Caenorhabditis elegans: one gene and its partner. The protein of the gene in region 2 purifies or fractionates together with the protein of the main gene of each other region. This does not show direct contact. Each region holds a gene or a part of one and is shown on either strand. Other genes may lie near its edges.

The links. Proteins that work in one complex are often made in the same cells at the same time.
Region 1: the proteins of srgp-1 (region 2) and cdc-42 purify together in Caenorhabditis elegans (affinity purification with western blotting, with the first as the bait; one study listed by BioGRID). This does not show direct contact.

The regions. Positions count from the first base shown.
Region 1 is NC_003280.10:7,612,351-7,619,855, forward strand, and holds cdc-42 (Cell division control protein 42 homolog), read left to right. Parts: upstream 1-4,101; 5' UTR 4,102-4,106; coding exon 4,107-4,229; intron 4,230-4,282; coding exon 4,283-4,447; intron 4,448-4,497; coding exon 4,498-4,695; intron 4,696-5,040; coding exon 5,041-5,130; 3' UTR 5,131-5,895; downstream 5,896-7,505. Other genes in the region: R07G3.7 (uncharacterized protein), read right to left, coding at 96-357, 512-668, 717-949, 1,207-1,331; Immunoglobulin domain-containing protein oig-4, read left to right, coding at 1,273-1,440, 1,490-1,639, 1,685-1,736, 1,965-2,062; R07G3.8 (CYRIA/CYRIB Rac1 binding domain-containing protein), read right to left, coding at 6,164-6,259, 6,753-6,951, 7,310-7,465.
Region 2 is NC_003282.8:11,566,259-11,573,763, forward strand, and holds the start of srgp-1 (Rho-GAP domain-containing protein), read left to right. Parts: upstream 1-4,241; 5' UTR 4,242-4,284; coding exon 4,285-4,453; intron 4,454-5,408; exon of another isoform or gene 5,409-5,711; coding exon of another isoform or gene 5,712-5,772; intron 5,773-6,269; exon of another isoform or gene 6,270-6,478; intron 6,479-7,423; exon of another isoform or gene 7,424-7,505.

The DNA.
Region 1 (7,505 bases), on a different chromosome or scaffold from region 2:
AAAAATTCATAAATTTTCAAATTTTACTTTTTTTGGTAATATGACGAATTTCTACTTTCTTTAAAATTTAAAATTCTCACACAAAAAATACTCACCTGTACATAATAATATTCCGGAAGTGCTCTGTTGCATTTCCCATCGTTATAATCTTCATTGAGGTGTAGCTGAAACTGATTGTAGCTGTCAAAAGATCCTTTACAATTGAAACAGAACACTCCAGCATCATTGTGACCGAGACATTCAGAAGATTTCAAAGTCACTTTTGGACGAGGTGGCTGACTTGATGGAACTAAAACATCTTTAATCGGATAATGTGGAGTATCATCTTCAAATTCTTGTTCTTGAGCGTCGTAAAATCTGCAAAAATCTTGAATTACTTTTCTGTTGAAAAAAGAAAGGGAAGACTCTTGAAAAAGAAAAGACAACGAATACGGAGGTGCTAATCGAGTTGAGAGTCACTCTTCTCTCTTTTCTCATCGTCTTCACCACTTCAGTTCAATTTCAAACTCACTCTTGGTCTGGCTCAGAGTCTAGTAATTGATCTATTCCAGGATCTTCTTCTATTTCAACTTTTTTCGGTGCAACTTTATTGGGTCTTAATGTTTGTTCTAACACAGCCATAGCGTTGAATCTCCATTGCTTTTCCGAATTTGTAGCCAGTTTTATTTCTGAAATTACTTTTATAAGGATTATTGAGAATAATAAATTATTCGTACCATTCGTAACGTCATAATCTGCAAATTTTCTCGATTCTTCCTTCCTCGCAGCTTTTCTTTTTTCTTCCTTGTCACAAACATGTTCTTTAATGTGCAATAGCGTACGAGAAGCAAGTCTACAGTGATCACAGAAAAATGGAAGAACTCTTGGTTTCAGCTGCTTCTTGTATTTTCGAACTAGATTCACTGCAATTCGATGGGAAGGGCTTCCACTGTTCCATCGTTTTGGACGGCTGAAAAATAAATATTTTAGAACATCCCCGAATAACAAAGATTCAAGCATGACATACATCGAATAAAACACATTACTCCTCTCTTTTCTTCGTTTCTCTTTGCTCTGTCGAAATATTACACTGGTGTGAGAGCAAGAACACATGCTATCGAAGTCCAGAGACTTCCGATCAATACTTTTTTACTGATATTTTTTAAATAACTAATTGGATTTAAATGTTCTTCGATTTATAATTCTTTTAGAGTTTTTTCAACTCACCTTAACAAAATTCCACGAAGTGACGGGTGCAGAAGATAGGCTGCACCAACTGGTAAATCGCGAATCATGAGCTTCCGATTATGGGGTCGATGCATTTTTTTCTTCTGCTTCTTGCTGGAAGCCATCGATTCTAGAGGAGGTCGTCGAGGCGGAAAAGGAAAGGGAAAGAGTAATCTGCAATTTGCACAAGTTGCAGAATTTTCGTTGGTTCAAACGGTTTTGTCAGATAATAGAGCGAGTTTCAGAAATAAAAAAAATGATACAAAATTTGAAAGTCTTTCAGAGTGCTCAAATCATAACTGGCTCTCACTTCAGTCAAACATATCGGCTTGGATACAAACTACTTATCATTTGCAAAGCTCGTGGAGATCCTAGACCGACAATTAAATGGTATAAGGAAGGTGCTGAAATTCAACCAAAAGCTAGCATTCACGTGAGTCATGTACAGTAATCCGTGGGTTAACTGCTTTACTTGCAGTATTACGAAAAGCCAATCGAAAATGATACAATTTGGAGTAAATTAGAAGTTGGTAAGTGAAAATTGTTGTCAATCAAGAATATCTTTAGAACCCTTGCGAAAAATGATACAATATGATAAGAAACTTTTTTGTCACTGTCAGCAAATTTTGGAATTTCGCTCATTTCTCTACAATTTTTTTGCCATATTCAGCGCTTTTTAAAGTTTTTCTTCTTAACTGTGAGCGAATGGCAAACTACAATAACGACAGCTAAATATACGACAGTTGTCATATTTTCAGATCCGGCAACAATGGGCGATCAGGGTGTCTATGCATGTGTGGCTAATAACCCGCACGGAGTAATGGCAAAGAATTTTAAAGCAGAATATACGTATTGAATAAAGATTTTTCACAAATCAAATAATTTTCTCTCACCTAATCTATATCATATAAACTTGCGAAGGAATGCGTTTGAAACCTCCTCCTTCTGTTGCGTGCAGGCGCACGAGCGACAAAACAAACAGTGTTTGGGAGTGAGAGAAGCGGGATGAACAGGTGTGCGGTGGCGGTAAATTCGAGTGAAGGCGGGAATGTGTTCAGAATGAATACAGAAAAAGAGCTGATGACGTTGTAAACGAAATTCATGAACGAAAAGCAGGCACATCTCGCGCGGAAAAGGGAGGAGACGCGGCAGGGAACCGGATTGGGGGACTATTGATCGAACAATAAGGAAGAAGAGAAGTACGCGCCGTCGGTTATCGAAACTCCAAATTTTTCTTCTTTTAATTGGGAAAAGTATTACGAACATGTAATTTCATGGAATTCACACGGTTTACAATGAAGTTATCAAGAGAAAATATGCAATTCTAAAAATTTAGGGCAGATTGAATCGTCGATTGGATTGAAGTGAAAGAAGAGAAATAGAAATTTCGCGAGTGAGATTCAATCGGAGCATTGTTAGAATTCTATCTAGAAATGTAAGACAAAAAATACGAAATAGCATATTGAAATATAAAACCTTAAAATTAAAAAGAAGGCAATTTTAAAATTAATTTTACGAAATACAATTGAGAAAAAATGGAAAACACAACGGATTCAATCGAAGTTAATATTCTAGAGATGGTATTTATAAATTGAGGACAAATATTCTGCACTAGGAGAAACAAGAAAAAAGAAAGAAGTTTCTGGCTGGCAATCGTTCGCACAGGAAAAATAAAAAACTAAAATGGCCGCCCGTCTGTTAGCATGGAACGGGTTACGCTAGTTATAGACTAAGCTTACATACAAAATATGTATGTATAATATCCTCACAGCGTAACAAAGTGAGATATAGTTTAAATTCTAGATGATGACTTTAGAAATCCTATTTGGTGGTTTTACGAAGTTTACAGCGTCATTTCTAGACTGAAACTGACCAGTCTGGGATATCATTTGTCTAATCAAGTACTCTATCTAGATAACTGACCGATCTAATAAGTTTTCACGAGTTACGGGACCTAAATTTGAATCCAATAATTCGGTGACGACTGGCGACCCTATGTTAGATGTAGTGATGTCTCCATTCTCTCAATACTCTCTCGTCTTTTTCTCTGCGTATCTCACCACTAGCGTAGTCTATGAGTGCGAGCGGCCGCGTCGCGGTCGTCTTTAGGCTCGCCGACAAACTGTCCACCATCTTCTTTTTTTCCTTTTTTCGCCGTGTTCAACAAAGCTCATTCACGCTTTTCGTTGTTTTACAGGCTTTTATTGTTTTTTCTAATTATTGATTATTCATTTATAAGAGCAGAATTAATCAATAAACGTAGGTAGACGATCGAAGTATCCTATCAGTTTTTAATTTGATAAATTTTCTCGAAAGGAGCAATCATGTTTTAAATTATTTAAAAAATGGTCCGCTTAAGTTTGTCTGACTGTTTAACAATTATTGAAATCATTTTCGTGACATTTTATTGAACATTGCTTCCAAATTCCCCTAACATAATCCTGACTGAGATGTTCCAGTGTTTCATGTCGAATTATTCCTATTTTTGTACCTTTTCTTAAATATAACTAGTTTCAAATATATGCAAGTTGTTTGGTACGGAAAACCGATTCAAACTTCCGACCAGTTACCGATGAATCATTGCCAAAATTCCTCATCTAAAGAATTATACGCACAAGTTGTTTTGGCCATTTTGCCTTATTTCTTCATCGTTTATTAAGGCGTTTACCGTTTTTTTTTCTTGCTCTTTCTTCGATAATTATTGCTCCCAATGGTAAAGAAACGCTCGTGGCATTTCGAAAGAGACTATTGATTTTCTGCCTGATGTTTCGCAATTCGTTTTCATTCTCTAGTTATCTCTCCTTTTAAAACGTGTGCGTGCACATTTATGTGACTCATCCGTATTTTTCACTATAAAGACGTAATTTTAATACTTTTATTCATTTTTTTTTTCAGGCGAAATGCAGACGATCAAGTGCGTCGTCGTTGGAGATGGAGCTGTCGGTAAAACTTGTCTCCTGATCAGCTATACCACAAACAAGTTTCCTTCTGAGTATGTGCCGACAGTCTTCGACAATTACGCCGTAAGTTTAAGAAAAAAAAATTATTTTATATAAAAATAATTTCCGAATTTCAGGTCACAGTAATGATCGGTGGCGAGCCATACACATTAGGATTGTTTGATACTGCTGGACAGGAAGATTACGATCGATTAAGGCCTCTATCGTATCCACAGACCGACGTGTTTCTTGTTTGCTTCTCCGTGGTTGCTCCAGCTTCATTCGAGAATGTCCGAGAAAAAGTAAGAAATATTGTTCTCGAATTTATTCTATATATCTGAAATTGTTTTAGTGGGTGCCTGAAATTTCGCATCATTGCTCAAAGACCCCATTCTTGTTAGTTGGTACTCAAGTCGATCTCAGGGATGATCCAGGAATGCTCGAGAAACTGGCAAAAAACAAGCAGAAACCAGTGTCAACGGATGTTGGAGAGAAGTTGGCAAAGGAATTGAAAGCAGTGAAATACGTTGAATGCTCAGCGTTGACGCAGGTGAGTCATTCTTTCCAAAATAGTCATTGATAATATTGAAACATTAAAATAAAATATCATCCAATCCACGAAACCTAATCAAATAATAAATTTTTAAATATTAAAACGAGGCTCTTGTGGAAATACGTGACACTTTAAAATATAAATATCACTTTTCAGTTAAATTGTTGCTTTATATTTAGCAACGGTCATGTTTTCGGGAAAAACGAACAACCAGAATTCTGTTTTTATTGTGCAAAAAATTATCTCCTGAAATGCTCTATATTCCGGCTGAAAATACCATAGTTTTCATATTATGTTGATTAAAAACGCTTGTATATTGAAGTTTAAATAGTTTATTTTCAGAAGGGACTGAAAAATGTATTCGACGAAGCCATTCTGGCCGCTCTCGACCCACCACAACAGGAGAAGAAGAAGAAGTGCAATATTCTCTAGGAACGTCTTCCTTGTCTCCATGTTTTCCTCTGTTTTGTGACTGTGTTTTTCTTTCTATGTCCAAATTTTCTTAGCCCCCGACTTCCACTCTTCTCATACTTCTAAATTTCCCTGAAAAATGCCAAACGAGAAGCGGTTGCTGTTATTTTTGACAGCATCATAGAAGATGATTTTCTTCAATTCGTCTCCTGTAACTTATCCAGTAGAATCTCGATGAGCATGATTCCAGAATTTTTTAATTGTTTCGTATAGAATTTCGATAAGCAGGGCAGTTTATAGTTTCTCATCTGTTTTCGAATTTTTATCGAATAATCCCCTCGAAAATTTTTAAAAGTTCATCCAAATTAACTATCATTCTTTTCAATGACACCTCCTCTTTAACATTTTCGTCGTCGTTTTTATTTTCTTTTTTATCCCAAAACGTGTTTATAGTCCGGATACACCGTTACGTAATGCGCCTTCTCCTTTCCCATGGTTCTTTTTATAATTATATAATAGGTGTTGTATAGCACAACCAACTACATCCCGAGTCGCTTGTTTCTTCATTTGCTGCTCAAAAATACCGACCAGTTTGTTTTTCTTCTTTCCTTTTTTTTGTGCTTTTCTGCCTTCACACATCCATTTCCCATTTTAAACTGTTTTCTCATCCACTACGTTTTGTGTCTCCCTCCTCCTTTCTCCAGAACAACTCTGTATTTTAATTTTTCTACATATTGTTGTTATATATTTGCGATCCAAAACAATAAAGGTGTGATATAAAAAATTAAGATGTTTATAAAAGATCTTGAAAAGTATACAAGTGGGTGTTGTAGAAAAAGAAGAACCGGAACCATAAGGCATTGAGAAAAATAATTAATGAGTGGGTGAATTGGAACGAAAAATAATTATTATCACTGACAAAAAGTACTGTTTGACGAGGAGAGGAACATAATCACCGTGTATGAGGAAATGGGCTTCAACTAGAAACGATAAGAGAACATAAAATAGAGGCAAGGATGACTAGAATTAATGAACAAATTGACAAAAAATGAAATTATTTCACTTCAATCAAATGACGAAGAGATTTTGGAGTACTTGAATCATTATAATGTTTTGTTGTGAAACGAAGACCAGCAAGTAGACAATCAGACTGAAAATAAAACAATTAATATGGGTTGCTCAATTTTATTCTAATTTTTATTATGGAAGCGCAGAAAAATGCTCATTTTGAAAGCGCGTTTGCAATCGCGCTTTACGGACAAACTGTTGGGTCTCGTTAGGTATTCGCAGAAAACTAGAAATTCGAACATGTTCAAACATTTTTCGTCTGCTTTAAATGCTTTCCGCTATTCTTTTAAATTAATTTCAGTCCGAAATTGATGAATTAAAATTTATAAACGAAAAAAAAATTCGATTTTCATTGTCACATGCATTTTTAAAATAATAATTTTGAAACAAAAATCATTAAAAACAACTTCAAATTGTATGAATTAATGCTGTCAATTCCTAACGAGACTCATAGTTTGGCGTTGGAGCGAGCTTGCCCCTTCATTTCATTTTTCTGCGTCCCCATAATGTTTGGAAAACGATATAAGCAATTTTCGCTCTACTACACGAAAACTCTAAATATGAAAAACGCTTACCTGTTCAGGAGTGGTATTTAGTTTGATCAACCTGACAACATCTCTCATATCAATTGATGAGTTTGACACGAATGCACCATTTTGATCTACGTGATCGAATAATATTACAAGGCCAGTCATCACTCGACAGCAAAGATGTTTCGATGAATCTGTCAGTCGTGCCAGACATTCGTCATTTGCTAACATGAATCGGCAAACGCTGAAAATTTTAATACAATTTTATTTTACCGTAACTCATCATATCGTAACTCATGACTGATCAGTGAAAAAAGTAGTTGAAAATCACTATTAAAGTGCAAAAATGACCAAGAACTTTCCAAAAAAAGTTAATGTTTCATTTGCAGTGAAAAAGAAGATCAATTCATAATTTTGGAAGTATTTTTGAAAGATTTGTCAGATTTCCAAAACGTTGACTGAAACTTTTCATAACACTAAAAATTATTTAATCACGATATTTAAAAGATTTCCATTTTCTTGCTTGTGTTCCATAAATTGCGGATGGAGTTTACGATATATTCCAAAAGTATGTTTTTCAGTTTAATTTATAGAAAACTCACTTGATAATTGTTACAAAAACATCAGTTGTATTGTTAATTGGCAAGCTTTGATGTGTCTGCATGTACGAATCTACACCATTACAAAGTGCTTTTAACATTGGATTTCCTTCACAAAGAAACATTTGAACTTGTGGTAATTCGGGAACTCCTTGGTCTCTACAAATTTAAAATTATATTAGATTGTTTCAAATAAATT
Region 2 (7,505 bases):
TAATTAAATCCCGAAAAGAACGTTGATTTTGCTGTAAAGTTCCATGTCACAGCGCGATCCACCGTGTACGCAAACGTCGCGGTGGGCAAATCGCTGCGAGACCCAGCGTGCTGCGTCTCTTCAGGCAACAGCTGTCTCTCTTCATTTCGGCACTTTTTGAATTTTAATTTTTTGTTTTGTTGTTTTTTTTTCTTTTTTCTTTGTTTCCGTAAATGGAAATGTTGATAATTATTTAGATTACACCTAGGCGATTAAAAATTACTATTTGAATCAGGATTCTGTAGGTTTTGAATAGAATATTACCCGCTAGTACTGCTTGTTCAGTTTAATTCGGGAAATCCTTCTAAACTCCAACTAGATGTGATAATAGACCTTATTAATAATATCGATGCACGTTTTTGTGTGCTCAAAATTACAAAAATTTGGCTAAACACATTTATATTCAAAGTAAGGTTTCAAAAAAAAAAAATTTCCTCACGATATTCATTAATGAGGTTCTTATTATTTATGCTAATTGTGGTATAGATCGCCAGCTGTTTCTCAATCCCTTTCTCGTTTTCCGTATTTCGTATTCAAACCGCACCGCCCTTCTCTGTTTTTCTGGATCTCACCGTCCATTACTGGCAACAATAGGAAAGAGTTTTCTTTTATTCTGACCTCTTCCCTCCCTATTCAGTATGTTTGTACAGTTTCCATTTACATTAGTCACTCGCTCACTTTTTGACTTTTTTTTTGCAATCTTTCGGCCCACTCAAACCCTCAAGAAAATGTATCAGTTTCAACTTTGTTCCTATAAATATTGATATCAGGGTGTCTACACGTTTCACTGTTTTTTTGTATCCCGGAACATTAGTAACACAAATGACCCGATTCCAATGGCAATTAGGCGCTTCGAATCCTTTCACCGTCTGCCACTTATGGTCTCAAGGTTAAGTTATTATTGTTACTGTCAGGTACTACCCATCGGATAAAAAGACGATTGAACATCCCTCACGAATGTTTAATTTCGAACTCTATTGAATATACTTGTAAGAAATATTATTTTGTGCTTATAGTTTTTTCAAAAAATGCTTTTAAGCTTCAGTTTGACAAATAAATTCGGCTTCGTTAGCTGAATTTCCCTTGCCCTTTCACTTTTGATCAATTAGTGCAGAACGACGGATGGTTTAAATTTTACGATTCCCTAAAGACTTCATTTCCCAGGCACGATGCTAAAATAATGTAATTGTGTATCAGAAGCGAAGTGAAATCGGTAGAGAACACTTGCGTCAGGTGTCACATATCCTTTTTTGGTCCTTTTCCTTCGTTCTATTCACGTCCATTAGGTATTTATTACTTTATTAGAGCTTGTTATGACGAATGAGCCGCGGATAAACAATGCATGTTCTTTTACTTCTTTTGAGTGTGTGCCGCCCGCATCCGCCGCTCAACACATCCATTATGATGCTAATAAGTTTTATCCTTATTTTGTCGGTCATGAATTATACAAATCCGCATTTATTTTACTTACCCGATTTTTAATGACAATTTTGAGTTATGAACTTGAAAGCATTGAAATTATTTTGATCAATTTGTGGGTTTTATTTATTATTTAAATTTCAAACCCAGTATCGTTATACTGAATACGACTCGTAAAATATCATAGCATTTTTCTAATTTTTAAAATAGGTTTTTTAATCAGAGAATTTTATTGACCTAGTTTCGACATTTCCGGCTGAATTAATTGAGTTTTTGTTTTATAAATTGAAGCACAATTTATCAGTTTTTTCGCAATATTTAGAAATATTCTATTCATTTTTACTGATATATTCAGTAAATCGAGACAACACTGCTCTCAAGTTTCTCGATATTTTACAGTGACACATGGAGTTAAAGTATAAAATACTGTAGGATCAGATGTAATCGCATCATCATGAAATCCGCTTTTGAATCCCTTAGCCTCTTCAGAAGGACACTCGAAACTAATTTGGTTTTGACCCGATTCACATCGTTCTTTTATTCGTTTACTATTACTATTAGAATACCGTCCATCATCCGCTCCCTACATGTTTTCATATTGTCTCCTTCGACATTTATAATGTTTTTATTCATATGTTTTCAGTCTATTCTTTCTTTCTTTCTTTATTTCAACCTGTATTAAAGAGCATCCACGTCATCGTCTCCCCCTTTCTCTGCGTTTCCACTACTTGACCTAGTCTCTCGATTATCGCTGACAATCTCGAATTTCATCACAACATCTTCTCTTCTTCGACGCTCACCAGTTGTGGCTAGTCGATAGGCACCGGATCTCCATGTCCTTCTGCCGGTCACGCTTGACTTCTCAGCCCTCCACCATGTTCATGGATTCAGTGATGGGAATTGGAATAGCTTCATAGATTTTCTTTCCGGACCGGTCTTTTTTGGAGATTCTTCTTCATTCGGGAAGAACATGTGTCTAACCACCTACGTCTCTCTAGTCTTGACCGCTCTATCGCTCCAATCCGTGTTTACAGACCTTGGAAAGGCTCGGCGGAGCGCGCACGCACCTCTAGTCGTCGAATGCGCTTGTTAATTACGGCAAACATACGTTTCACACTTTATTTTTCTCTTTCTCGACGCACATTTCGAATTTCTATATGGTATTGCAAAATGCAAATAAATATATAGACTGTACTGTATTGCCTATCTCGCATTTTTCATGTTCTTTTCGTTTCCCATAAGAGTACATTAGCCGTGTAAGGAGGATTAGTGTAGGGATATTACGACGGCCACTACGAGAAGGTGCCAATTGGAACCTTGTTCTTCCCAAGTGGACGAGACAATGAGACCGATGAACGTCATCATTACATAACATTCTTATTCCTTCTTCATTGGAATACACTTTCTTTAATTTTAAATATTTATGTACTCATGAGACTATATAATCCATTCTGAGCTTATTAATTCTAAAATTTTTATATAAAAAATATTCCCAGTGCGCTATTCATTTCTTTATGTTGTCAGAAAAAAGTTATTCTTGTCTCTTGTGTCCGGCAGTGTCCGGCAGCGCCCTTGTTTGTCGGAAAGAGAAAACTAAAATAAAAGTTTTCCTCTCTTTTTCAAGAAGCCCAAGGCGTTTTTCACTTTCAATCGTTCCTTTCCTGCTTCGTCTTCCAAAAAAAAGCATGAATTTTTTGGAATAGCCGAAAGGCTTTAGAGACCGAGTCAAGATTGATGGCATCCTTTTGCCAGTCAGCTCCAAAACCAATATCCGTTATTTGGGATGTTTTTCTTCATTTCTCATTCATCAGGTATATGTTAGGTGCCGATTGAATGTTGTCGTGGAAGAGGAATATGATGTTGATGGACAATAAAGATAACATTGTCCTGGTCTTCCCCTCTCCTGTTGCCTCATAGTAATACTTTTACATAATCTCGGATGAATAAACATTTGTCCGTTCCATTTATGTTTTCTTCTTCTTCTTCTCGAAAATAGATTCGTTTCTATTGAAAGGGTCAATATTTAATCCATAGTTAATCTTCTATTGAGGAATTACTTTTCTTGAAGAAAAGAAGAGCAACGAATGTCGGTTTACTTCTAACTTGATATTTTTAAGCTTGTTATAAATATCAATTCATATTTATACTTTTTTGTTAAAAAATTATTTCAGGTAACTATGCATCTACGGGAGCCCCTCAAATATGTATGTAAAATATTAATTGTTTGCGCCCTAGTGGCTTTGTTTTCAAAAAAAAAAGACGATGACTTTAGCAAAAACGAAATCAAATACATATGCTTAATTCAGTCCATCTGCTTCACTTTATGTTGATGTCTATTCTCTTTTTGCAATTCCTATTATTTTTCTGTCGTTCCTCTTGTCCTGAAACCGTATTGTTACATGCCGTCCTCGGTGTTTCTTTCCACTGTTTTTCTGAAAGCTACGTCCACCAAACCCTTGTTCACTTTTTTTTTCTATTTTTCGCCAGCCACACGTTGATTTATGTGAAGTAGCAGTAAGGGGGCAAACGCGGGCTTTACCATCTGCCAAGCTAGTTACTTTTTTCGTCCCGCTCCTTGCGCTTTTTGCTTGCCCATCTCTTTTTTTGTGCTTTCTCAAACTAACTCTAGCCACTCAACTCTTATAAATCAATCAAACAAATTCTATAAATTGTCCTCCTTTTCTCCTTGCCTATCCTTTGTTTTTTTCAAACAATCCGTGTTTCTTCCATACTTTCCCCTTCAACCCGATATCATTCATTCAATTTATAATTTTCTTTTCCAGAATTTCACCCAAACCACTTGCTTCACCCGTGCCGACCCCAAACATGACGACGTCTTCGTCTGAAGGTGGGGCCGGTGGCCAGCACGAGGAAACTTCGATGACGTTAACTTCATCAACATCAGCAGACAGAAGATGCTCACAGGACGTGAGAAAACATTCACAGCACAAACAAGAAAAGGCGATTGTACACGATTTGGAGTGTGCTGCTAAAGGTGAGATTTTTTGAAATGTTGGAATCGTAATCTTTTCTTTTGGTAACTTCGAGAATTTTGCAACAAAAAAAATTAAAAAACCTTCCGTATTACCCAGACACAAAACTTTGTGATTTTCGAGCCAAAATACGGTAACGGGTCTCAACACGACAATTTTTTTTTGAAAAATACGAAGAGGAAATTTAATTAATTCTCTAAGTTTTTCTAACAATTTGTTAAAAATTTATGGATTTTATTTGAGTTTGAGAATACAGTAGTTTTTAAAGCACACTTTTTCGAAAATTCAACCAAAATTTATCGTGTCGAGACCGGGAGCCATATTTTTGGCGCAAAATTTCGCGTTTGAGTATCAAAACTGAAAAACTAAAAAATAGTTCGATATATTAAGCTTCAAAGTTTATTAAAAGTATTTGTCATCTTGATCTTCCCTCCAAGTTTACATTGAATTCATTTCGTTGTTTTTTCTTTCCGCTCACACCCTCTCCAACTAGTTTATGTTGATCCCATCACGAATTGGGGGTAAGTAGAGATATAAACATATATTACGTGCCACATTGTGAGGAAAAAACTTGTTCAATGTTCCTAGTGTTGTTCATCATAATCAAACATTTTAATTGCGATTTTAAGTATAGAACACTATCATTTTCATCCATTTTTCGCGCCTTTTCACCCTATTATCTAAACAATCATCAGCGGAAAGAAGTCGGTACACAGTCAGAGAGAGAAAGAACACACGGGCGGTGCGGGAAAAAAGAAAAGAAACATTTTCATTTCGCACCCCATCGCCATCGTCGGGCGACATCAACGCATTGACAATTTATTGCGATTGTGTGTTGGAAACTGCGGGAAGTCACTTGTCACTTGAACCAAAGTAATGAATAGTTATACTAGAGGGGAACTTGCGGAATAATAGAAATGTGATAGGGCATCAGTACGGGGGGAGTAGTGAATAATTCGAAGCCACTGCCGCCGCCAACCTTGTTCTCCCCTTATACCTGTGTCGTAAGTGTGTAAAGTTGTTTTGGAATCATTCTTCTTCTCTATGGAACTTAGAAAAGAAAGACGAAGACGCAGAAGATGAAAGGGCATGCGATGGAAACGGATCATCATCGCCCCACCCGGGAGCCATGAGAAGGCAGTTGTCTCTCTGTCTTCTCTCGAGAGAATCTCTTAGAGAACGAAAGTCATTTAGTCTTCTGTCTCTTCCCATCTTATTTTCCCACACTGGTGTTCGTTTTGATCTAAACGTCATGCGAACATGAGTATTCGACTACCACTATGTGCATCGATTGGTGTCGACGATCAGTATGATTTCCAAGGTTAGTTAGAATTGTAGAAGGCCCTACTTGAATAAAGTATGAATTTTCCAAGATAACAAATATTTTGTTTATATGTTTTGAATTTAACGAAACATGAAATTCACCACTGTAGTTTCTTATGCAAATAATTTCAAAACGACAAAAAAAAATCACTCAGAAAACCATGTGATGTGAAAACGCTTTCAGAATCATGAATTCGATGTTCTATTTTTCTCCAAATCTTATCTCCTTTTCGATCAAATTCGTGTGATAGTGGGATAGGCCCAATTCCTGTGACAATAATGACTCACAATGTTATAAACAGTGGAAGGAATCTCTTGTCAACATTCAATTCCTACTACTTTTTCATTCTTTCCGATACTATTTCATGATCCTTTTTTCCTACTTTCCGCACCTTGACTTCCGTCCTTCTCGTCCTCGACGTTTAATTGTTTCTTCTACCAACCCAAGAATGCTAATACTTTCTTCACTCCCTAGTTTTTGTCTTCATATCGTATCTTTGTTCGATTCGAATCGACCTGGCGTCCCAGACAATAGTAATGCCTCCTTCCGTGCACTTCAGAGCTCTTTCTGCAGCCACGGCCACCCATTTCATAAATCATCCTCAAAATTGATCCGTCAATTTCGTTGTCCCGTCTTCGTTGTCCCGTCCACTCTGGGTTTGCTCATGGACTCATCTTCAGAGGGATCTGTCCATCTATCTATCGGCTCCTTTTCTCTCGTTTTGTTCTCTAAGTATGTGTGTATGTCACACCTGCAATTCGGATTCCATGTGGTCGACACCACATGTTGCTTCTTTATATCATTCTTTCTTAGTTTTTTCTTCCAATTTTCGTTATTTTGAGCAGTTTCACCATAAAACCTTTACCACAAAAATATCGTAGATATAGCCATCAATTCAATGTACCAATTTCTACGGTCTATTAGTCGAGTAGACTAGAATACACGATATGCTTTGTACTGCTTTCTGACTCTCTCACCCACTATCAATGATTGATTTCTTAACATTCAGATTGGGCCGGATTACGTCCTCAATTTCTACAATGTGTAGACTTATAGAATTCAGAGAATAAAATAGTTGTCAATATCAAAGTTTAGTTTCACTAATTTTTTCTTCATCCATCTGTAGAATTACTTGACGTAGATTTTATTCTGCTATATTTTCCGCCAAAATCTCAAAACTCCCACATTGAATTCTTGATTTAAATTCCTACTTCAACTTGGCACATTTCAATGGCTGTGTAATTCAATTCGATGACTATGACTACATAATTAGGTAGGTAGTATCCTCGCCTTTCTCTCATAGATTTCCCACGACTACTGTTGTCTTCGCGCAGGAGGACTACCAAATAGAATGGGAATATGATATTGAATTGCTCTCATCTCAGAGTAGCTTCATACACACAAATGCACACGCACTGGTTGTGTCATTTAGGCTGATGAGCAATATGGTGGCGGCATCACCACTCTCTACACAGAAGACCGCCAAATGTGTCCGTATGTCTCCAAGGCGATCTCCATTATACAAGGAGGCGTTGAGAAGAAAGAAGGAGCGTCTTTCCATCTTTCTAGTGTTCTGAGCACTGGATTCCGATAAGCACTCGTATTCCTTACTTTTAAAAAACCCTCTAATGTTTCATCTCATCTCTAATTCACGCATTTCATTCAAATTCTCGTTTCGTTTTTCGTTTTCATCGTCTCCACCACCATCATAGTGAATTGGAAGAGAATGA